Linked DNA regions of Coturnix japonica. The protein of the gene in region 2 binds, or shares a complex with, the protein of the main gene of each other region. Links are inferred from orthologs where the notes say so. Each region holds a gene or a part of one and is shown on either strand. Other genes may lie near its edges.

Region 1 (3,817 bases), on a different chromosome or scaffold from region 2:
GCCGCACGTGGCTGTACCTGCCCGCAAAGCCCCGCACCCACCTCCGAGCAGTGCCAGGCCGGCACCCCGCAGGCCCAAGGAGGAACAGCACGAACTGGGAGCGGGACAGACGCTCTACTCAGGCCCCAGCAGCCGCGCACGGCGCAGCGCTGCCCCACCACAACACGGCGCTCACAGCCCACATCCCTCACCCCGCGGACAAGGCCGGGCCCGAAGCGCCGCGATCCCGCCCCGCTCCAACCTGAGCTCGGCCTGAGCTCGGCCTCCCTCCAGGGCCAAGGCCTAAAAATGGCGGAGCGAACCGCGCTCTCCGAGCCCCACTCCCGCCTCACACCGCACCCAGCCGAGCTCACCGTCCAGCCGGCGTCTCCCACCGCGCCCTCGCGGCCCCGCCGCTCGGCTCGGCTCGGCTCTTCGGCCCCGGAAGCCGCCGACGCCGCCTCACGATCCCCCGCCGCGGCCGGCCGCCATCTTCCTGCCCCCACCAGCGCCAGGGGCGGCGCATGCGCACCACGATAAGACGCTGAGCGGCAGGGAGGCCGCTCCACAGCCTGCGCATGCGCAATCGGAAGCCGCGCAGCCCTCAGAGCGTCCACCTTGTCCCAGTACAATCAGTGTATTGCAGAGATCTTCATAAATATGACAGAACACAGAAGCTTAATTAGAAATATCTTTTAATATCTTAGAAACATCTTTTTTAATTTACGCTAAGGGGAATAATACAAAACAACTGAGCGTATCAGGGCAGCTTTTGGTGCTCAGCTTCAGTACTGGAAGCTGCGTTTGGTCTGAATATCGTCAAGAATCTGCTGTAATTCCTCATCTTCAAACCGGCCCTCGAGGCTGCAAGGTAAGAACAAGGTGGGTACATTAAAGCTCGTAGGAACAGCCTCCCCTGTTCCCCTCTGAATTCATTTCACACCCATGCAGAGCCTCCTGTTTATGTGACAGAACTCCAACCTTCCCACAGCTCAGTGTGGAATGATTTCAAGTCATTGTACCAAAAGGTCAACCCGGGTGCAGGCCTCATGCTCATAAGCCAGTCCAGATTTGCTATGAAGAATGTGAGCAAAATACCTCAAGTTGTACCAATGGAGGTTTCAATTAGAAAGAATTTCTTCACAGAAGGGGTGGTGAGGTGTTGGAACAGGCTGAGCAGGGAAGTGCTGGTTGCCTTTTGTGGAGGTATTCAACAAACGTTTGTACAACTTAGAAGATTCTATGAAATCTTAGCATACAAGGGGAAAGCTGTACTTCAGATGAGTGTCTCATTCCTCCTCTATCTCAGGGTACGAGGTAACAAATGATGAGACGACACTGGAAGATCTCCCTGCCCCATCTGCACATTGTCCACCCAGCGGTTCAGAGGGACACTGCTGTTTGCTCCAACAACAACCAACAAACGCAGCTGGCTGGGCTGACAGCCCCAGTCTAAGCCACTGCCCAGAGATGTGCTGGAATCCCCACTTCTGGAGACATCCAAGGCCAGGCTCTGAGCAACCTGACCCAGCTGTGGGTGTCCCTGTTCACTGCAGGGGAGTTGGAGCAAATGGCCTTTAATGGTTCCTTCCAACTCCACGATTCCATCACTCTTAATCCAGTAAATGTTATCTAAAGTGCGTTAGGGATATTTAGATTGCTTCACTGTCAGATCAATGGGTAAGTGAAGAAAAACTGAGATGGAAGGTTTTCCCATCAGCAGAGCTGGATTATGGAGGAGGCATCTGTCCATGGGCAGCTTTACATCACAGGGCAGTACACCACACTCCTTTTAGGTATATAAATGCTCACCTGGGAATCAAAGCTTTGGCTTCCTCAGCAGTCTCAGGGCATAAATTGGCTAAACACGCCAGTTCAAACTTATGGAGCTTCTTCTGGAGCAGCAAGCTGTGAGGAAAGCCAACAACAAGACAGATAAGCAAAGCAGCATCAAGGCAAGCAGACAGCACACAACTCTGCTTTTTGACACTGCATCCAAGTTTATGAAGGAAGAAACATTACAACAGTGGATAGGTAAAAAGACAGACACAGCTGTGGGAAGCCCAGGAAACGTCAGTAAATCTCAGCTCCATCGAACAAGGCTGATGTTACGTATCACAGCCCAAAGCCTCGCACCCACCTGCGGACGCTGGCGATGGTCTCCCTGTTCTTGAAGCGGCTGAACCGCGCTGTGTAATTCAGGGTTTTCATGAAGACTTCGGACAGCTCCTGCTCATCCTCCGCGCTCTCGTTCTGCTGCTTGCGATGCTCCAGAAGCATATGGACCTCTGAGTTCAGCAGGGTTTCTGCCGTTTCGAATTCTACGTTGGAACAAGCAAACGTCAGTGTTTAAAACACGGATCCAAACAACAGCACGAGGTGTCGCCGCGCACCTTTGGGGAAGACGAGCTGCGAGGCGTCCTCCTCCACATCCGCAGTGCGCGGGTCGCTGCCGCCCGCCGCCATTGCTCACCCGGAACTGGAAGACATGGCGCCCGGAAGCGCAGCGCTGTGAGTGCCCGGCGCCCAGCAGAGGGAGCGGCGCCTCAGGTGGCTCCAGCTGCGCTGCACGGCGCTGTGAGCACCCAGCGCCTCCATCTTGATGCCTCTGAGGGAACGCAGCGAGTGATGGCTCCAGGAAACAACCCACAGCAGCATTACTTCTGGTGCAGTGTGGTAAATACATGGAGGTGTGTGTGGGAGGAGCATGGATGGCAATAGCAGAACACAATAGAAGTAAGGTTCCCTTCTTTGGCCTACTCAGGAATAATCCATAGACAGCTTAAAGCTTCAGGCAGGCTGGAAATGAGTGGGTTCGTCCTGGCACTGCTAGCAAAGTAGTGTTTGTAGTAGTACTTTCCCTTGGGAACACACATGAAAGTGCCCAACCAGCTTAAGACTTACAGTAATCATCTTAGGCTGCACAATGTCACCCCATGCCCTTAAAGAAATGCAGAAATAAATGGCTGGAGGATTCACTGTGAGGCCACTCCTGCTCTCCTAACGCACATCTGTGCCGGCTGCTGTGCTTCCTGCACCCTGCAGGTGGGTGAGCTCCACCAGGAGCTGCAGGATCAGATCTGAGCTCCTTAATGTTTGTTAACTCCAGACGAGCGTGGCAGAGAAGCGAACTAAAAACGAATTAGCTGAGTGGTACAAACAGAAAGACACTCAGGAAGATAGTGTGGAAATAGAACATCTAGTGAATGAGGCTATTTCAATTACGTTTACAAGAAAACAAGGAAATCATAGAATCATAGGCTGGCTTGGGTTGGAATGGACCTCAAGGATCATAAAGCTCCAACCCCTCCCCCCCCCACCACCACAGGCAGGGCCACCAACCTCCATATCTAATACTAGATGAGGCTGTCCAGGGCCACATCCACATGCCAGATTGATGAGAGAAGCCTTTTAAAATCATTTGGAATCCCAACAGCTTCTCACATACCCTTTCACCTCAGAACATCCTGATCTTCAAGCAGTAGGTAGCTTGCAGTCTTGGTTACAAATTTAACATCTGTTGTTCCCCAGTGATCTCTCCTACTTAAGTACATGAAAACTGAAAGGATTCGGGGAAAGCCACATACCTACAAGAGCATAAAGGTACAGCCAAGGAGGCGGTGGTGGTGGCTAACAGCTCCCTGTCACTGCTGTGCTTGGTTTCAGTCTCAGGTTTTAGACATGAGCTTCTGTTGCATAGTCCAGGGCAGAAAGTGTTGGTTGGGACATCAGTGGTTTATTAAATAGATACTCTACAGCAATTCCTTCCTTCCCTCTGAAAACAGACCCACTAGCAACTTGAGTGCAAAAAAACAGCTATTACACACACACACACACA
Region 2 (4,487 bases):
GATGGAAGTGTGAGACACATTCATCTGAAATGTGTTTCTCATCTGGCAGTGACTGAACTACACTCTGAAGCCCTGCAACAAAAAAAAGCTCAATAACAAACACAATAAGTCCCGTGTGCTGCATGGAAAGCCCTGCCAAAGCAGCACACCTGTAATAGGGAAGAACTTCATACCCTGACAGTGCAGTTACTCCACAATGACAGGTTGATTCAGTCACCAGAAGTTGTTTCCAGTTCTCAAGTACTTCTTTGGTTATGATAAAAGTTCTCCTTTCATTACTTCTGTCTTCCCCAGAAAAGCATCATTAGAATCACCATGCAGCAACAAGACAGGCCTTACAAAATTCCTCTGAGGGCCAAGTCAGGACTGTGCTCTGACCTCCGGCTTCTCAAGCTGGGAAAACAGAGCCACCAAGAGCTTCCTCTGTAAGTATCAATTGTGAGGAAGAAAAGCTCTGAAACTAACAGCAGATTTACTCTCCACTGAATCCTCATCAGCCCTGCACAAAGCAGCATCAAGCCGAGCACAAACAGAACCTCCCTGAGCTTCTGGAACCTCTCTAACTTGTGAATGACTGCACTCTGTGGGCAGAGAAAAGAACGTTCTGCAATCTGCTCACTCTGTACCGGGAAGGAATATCCCAAGACTTTGGAAGGCAAAAGGAAAGAAACATTATTGGCTTCCAGTGACCTCTTACGTTAAACAAGGAACCACTAGATATTATCTCTTACACCTATTAGAGTCCAGGGCACATCCCCTAAAGCTACACACGCTAAGAAACAAAGGTGTTCATGCCTGCTTGACTTCAAAAGACACTGTCTGTGTTTCTTCCTCCTCCTCCTCATCTTTGTCCATCTGCTCATAAAACTCATATAAATCAGCTGGGACATCCGGCTTGTTTTGAACATCTGCTTCTTGTGACGTGGATGGACCAAAGCCACTTTCACTGGACTTGGAAATCTGAAAAAGACAGAAAAGACCAAAAGATTCGCTAGAGATGCTCCCCAGGACACTCATTGAAGTGGGGTTCATTAACAGGGCTGACAGGAATGAAAACAACTGCTGACATAACTAACGCACAATAATGATTCCAAGCTACCGAGCAGCTTATCTCATATGAATTCCATCCTTTTAAGACACGCCGCACGTACCGCTGATTTACTTGTGAATGTCTCTGTAATGAGCTCCGTTTCTTCACCTTCGGCATTTCTCAGGCGACAGTCTTTAATAACGTGGTCTTGCAGAAGCTGCTGGATGACATCAGGATGGGTACTTTCCACAAAATACCTACAAGAAAAGGACAAAAACTCCACATCTCTACGAACTAATTGATACAATAACTTACAGAAAAAAGCAGTACGTGCTTAAATCTACAGCCCAGAAGCACTCAAATGTAACAATCTTCCCTCCTTCAACTTAGAACCTTTCCCCCTTGTCCTTCCACTATCTACCCATGCAAAAAGTTGATTTATCTTCTGCTTATAAACTCCTTTTAAACACTGGAAGGCTGTAATGAGCTCTCCCCGCAGCCTTCTCTCCTCCTGACTAAAAAAGCCCAGCTCCTTCAGCCTGTCTTTGGAAGAGAGGTGCTCCAGGCTCCCCAGGGAGGTGCTTGAATCGCCATCCCTGGTTGTGTTTAAGAGCCGTCTAGATGTGGTACTTAGGGATATGATTTAGTGTAGGGTTTTTAGAGTTAGGGTACTGGTTAGGCTGCAGTTGGACTTGATGATCTTCAAGGTCTTTTCCAACCTAGGTAATTCTATGATGGATATCTTTGTTGCCCTGCTCTGGACCCTCTTCAAAAGCTTGATGTCATCCCTGTGTTGGGACTCCAGACCTGGATGTTATGCTTCAGATGGAGCCTTACAAGGACAATCGGCCCCCTCACCCCGCTGGTCACCCTTGATCCATGCAGCCCTTTCTCTTGCAGCCCTGGATATCACTGTCCTTCCAGGCAGCAAACACACGCTGCTGGCTCACGTTATGTTTTTCATCTGCCAGGACCCTGACGTTCTTCTCAGCAGGGCTACTCTCAAGGGTTCTTGGCAGATCTCTTCATTCACACCAACTATGCCAAAAGCAGCTTTTACCTGTTGCGTTTCAGCACCAGCTTCACCTTCCCATAGCTGACCGTACAGAGCTGCAAAAAGACAGCAGCAGTCATTAGGAATAGAACACACCAACATTTATGGAGCTACATACAGCAGAGAAAGGGAAAACGTAAGATAAAAGTCTCTGCTCTCTTATAACAGAATACAGTAAGGTGGTAAAACATTGAGCAAAAGAAAATGTATATAAAACAGCAGTAATGCAGATAGAGCAGAGCGTCAGATGGTGTTACATCAATGCAGACTGACCTTGATGAACTGGATGATCCCCTCTGGCACGCCGGTCTTGCTGAGTTTCTGCAGGTACTCGGTGATGTCGCTGGTCTGCAGGCCCACACTGACGGCAGCGTACAGGGAGTATGCGGTCAGCTTGTACTCGTGGATGTGGGTCGGTCTGCACACGGGCTCAGCAATGGCAACTAGAAAATCCTGGGCGTATTTGTAAACAGGAGAAAAGGCTTCCAGGAAGATATGGCCGTCAGGAGCCTACAGCGACACAACGAGACGCCAGATGAGGATTCTCCTACAAGGTTGTGCTGGGGGCTCCCGTGTTTAGGTGGGGACGTATCACTGTGTTGCGTTCCGCCCCCGCCCCGCACGTACCACCCAGAGCGGCCGCGAGGCGCTGTCAGCCTTGAGCGGCATCTGCAGCCGATAGTCCTTAGCGCCGTACTCGTCCAGCTTAGCGCCGCTGTCCTCCACCTGCTTCCCCGCCGCCGAGGGCACGGCCTCCTGCGAGTCCTTCCCGGGAGCCTCATCCTCCTCCTCCTCGTCGTCCTCGTGGTGCCGCTTCTTGCCCTTCTTCTTGTCTATAGCACACCGCGCCGTTACACGCCCGCTCTCCGCCCGCCGCCCCCCTCCAACCCCTCTCCTCCCGGCCCCGCTTACCCCGCTCCTTCCTGCCCATGGCGGCCGACGGAAACCTCGGCGTCACATCCGCACTAAGGCGGGGAGAGAATAAGGCGGGGAGTGGTAATAAAGACAGAAGGCGGAGCGTGTTGTCCCTACAGCGTGTTTAATTGATCGCTACGTACAACTCGTGTCCGGTTCGGAAATACAAATACATCTTCGAATGGTTTAAAAACGAAAAACTTAAAAAAATATTCTGAACATCAGCCAGCTGAAAATATATTTATCGTCTAAATCATCTCTCAGAGCTTCATAGAGTTCATTACCAGAACGAAACTGCGCGCCCTTAGAAAACAAGGCCGTCGACATGTAGAAATGAAACTGTGGAGTAAGATCAAGATACAGACATAGGGATACAGACATACATAGGGATACATACACACACACAGTTACAGGGCAGGGTTCTGACCCTTATAAGACCAGCTGCCCACCCCAGGCACACACATCCCTCCTTTAAGCTCCTGGTTTGACACCCAATTGCACCAGCAACACCATTATTAACAGCAACACCTCCCAACCCCACACACCCAGCAGTAGTACATTGCACACACACACACACACGGTTCACACACACCCATCGCCAACCGCTCAGTGTAGTAAATCAGTACAAATTAAATAGCTCCAAAAATGTGCAAAAAAGTCAACGCTGATAGAAAAAAACACCTTGGTGTTACATACGTTTTACAAACTGTGCCCGGCATTCAACTGAGTAAAAACATTTACAGTGAGAAACCGATAGATTAAATAGAGGATTTAATGGCTACGTAAAAATGTACAAGAGGAATATACAAATTGGTATCCAGAGCTTCATGGAAACAAAGTCTACGCTCCGACTGCTCTACGGCTCCTCGAGTATTTACAGTGATTCTCCATCGTGTGGCTGTGGGGGGCTGAGGTGACAGGCGAGGCTTCAAGGAACCACCACATCCAAGCACTGAACCCAGGCTGTGAGCTGGGATGGATGGGAAACCAGCACTGGGGACTGACAGCCTAACGCCTGCTCAGCAACATAAAGATAACCCTCGTTTTTAAACCCATGTGAGATAAGCTTTGAGGAAGAGGATGGGCTGTAAGGAAGGGACATGGAAACCTCTGATGTGTTTCCACTTTGGAGTGAAGTATCCTTGTATGTTCCCACAGCGGGCCCTGACCTGCAGCCCTCGTCACTGGACTCAGAGTAAGGACTGAACCATGAGATACAATTTCCATGTGTTTTAATCCAGTTCCTCTCCCCTTAACATAAAGTAAGTTCACAAAAACCTAAAGGTTTAGCCCAAGCGAGGCTGCCAGCACTGCACCTTCAGAGCACACACACGTACCCACTGATAGACTCAACCCACACAGGGGACCCCGTGCAGCCCCAGAGCTGCACCTCGCACAGCCCGGCTCCTCAGTGCTAAAAAGAGAGAGGAGTTCCTTTGTTTCTGACCAAGAGTATTGATCTGGAAGCCAGCTTGGTGGCAGTTCTGC

What was found.
Region 1: ERCC3 (region 2) and POLR2D share a complex: the UniProt entries of both Homo sapiens proteins name them as parts of the TBP-based Pol II pre-initiation complex. The link is inferred for Coturnix japonica from reciprocal best matches to the Homo sapiens genes ERCC3 and POLR2D.

What each region holds. Positions count from the first base shown.
Region 1 is NC_029524.1:1,664,521-1,668,337, reverse strand, and holds POLR2D (DNA-directed RNA polymerase II subunit RPB4), read right to left. Parts: upstream 2,501-3,817; 5' UTR 2,446-2,500; coding exon 2,373-2,445; intron 2,301-2,372; coding exon 2,120-2,300; intron 1,888-2,119; coding exon 1,792-1,887; intron 844-1,791; coding exon 765-843; 3' UTR 658-764; downstream 1-657. UniProt on the Homo sapiens protein: Core component of RNA polymerase II (Pol II), a DNA-dependent RNA polymerase which synthesizes mRNA precursors and many functional non-coding RNAs using the four ribonucleoside triphosphates as substrates.
Region 2 is NC_029522.1:23,171,253-23,175,739, forward strand, and holds the start of ERCC3 (general transcription and DNA repair factor IIH helicase subunit XPB), read right to left. Parts: upstream 3,091-4,487; 5' UTR 3,016-3,090; coding exon 2,997-3,015; intron 2,918-2,996; coding exon 2,712-2,917; intron 2,595-2,711; coding exon 2,358-2,594; intron 2,141-2,357; coding exon 2,091-2,140; intron 1,288-2,090; coding exon 1,152-1,287; intron 961-1,151; coding exon 796-960; intron 1-795. UniProt on the Homo sapiens protein: ATP-dependent 3'-5' DNA helicase/translocase. Binds dsDNA rather than ssDNA, unzipping it in a translocase rather than classical helicase activity. Component of the general transcription and DNA repair factor IIH (TFIIH) core complex.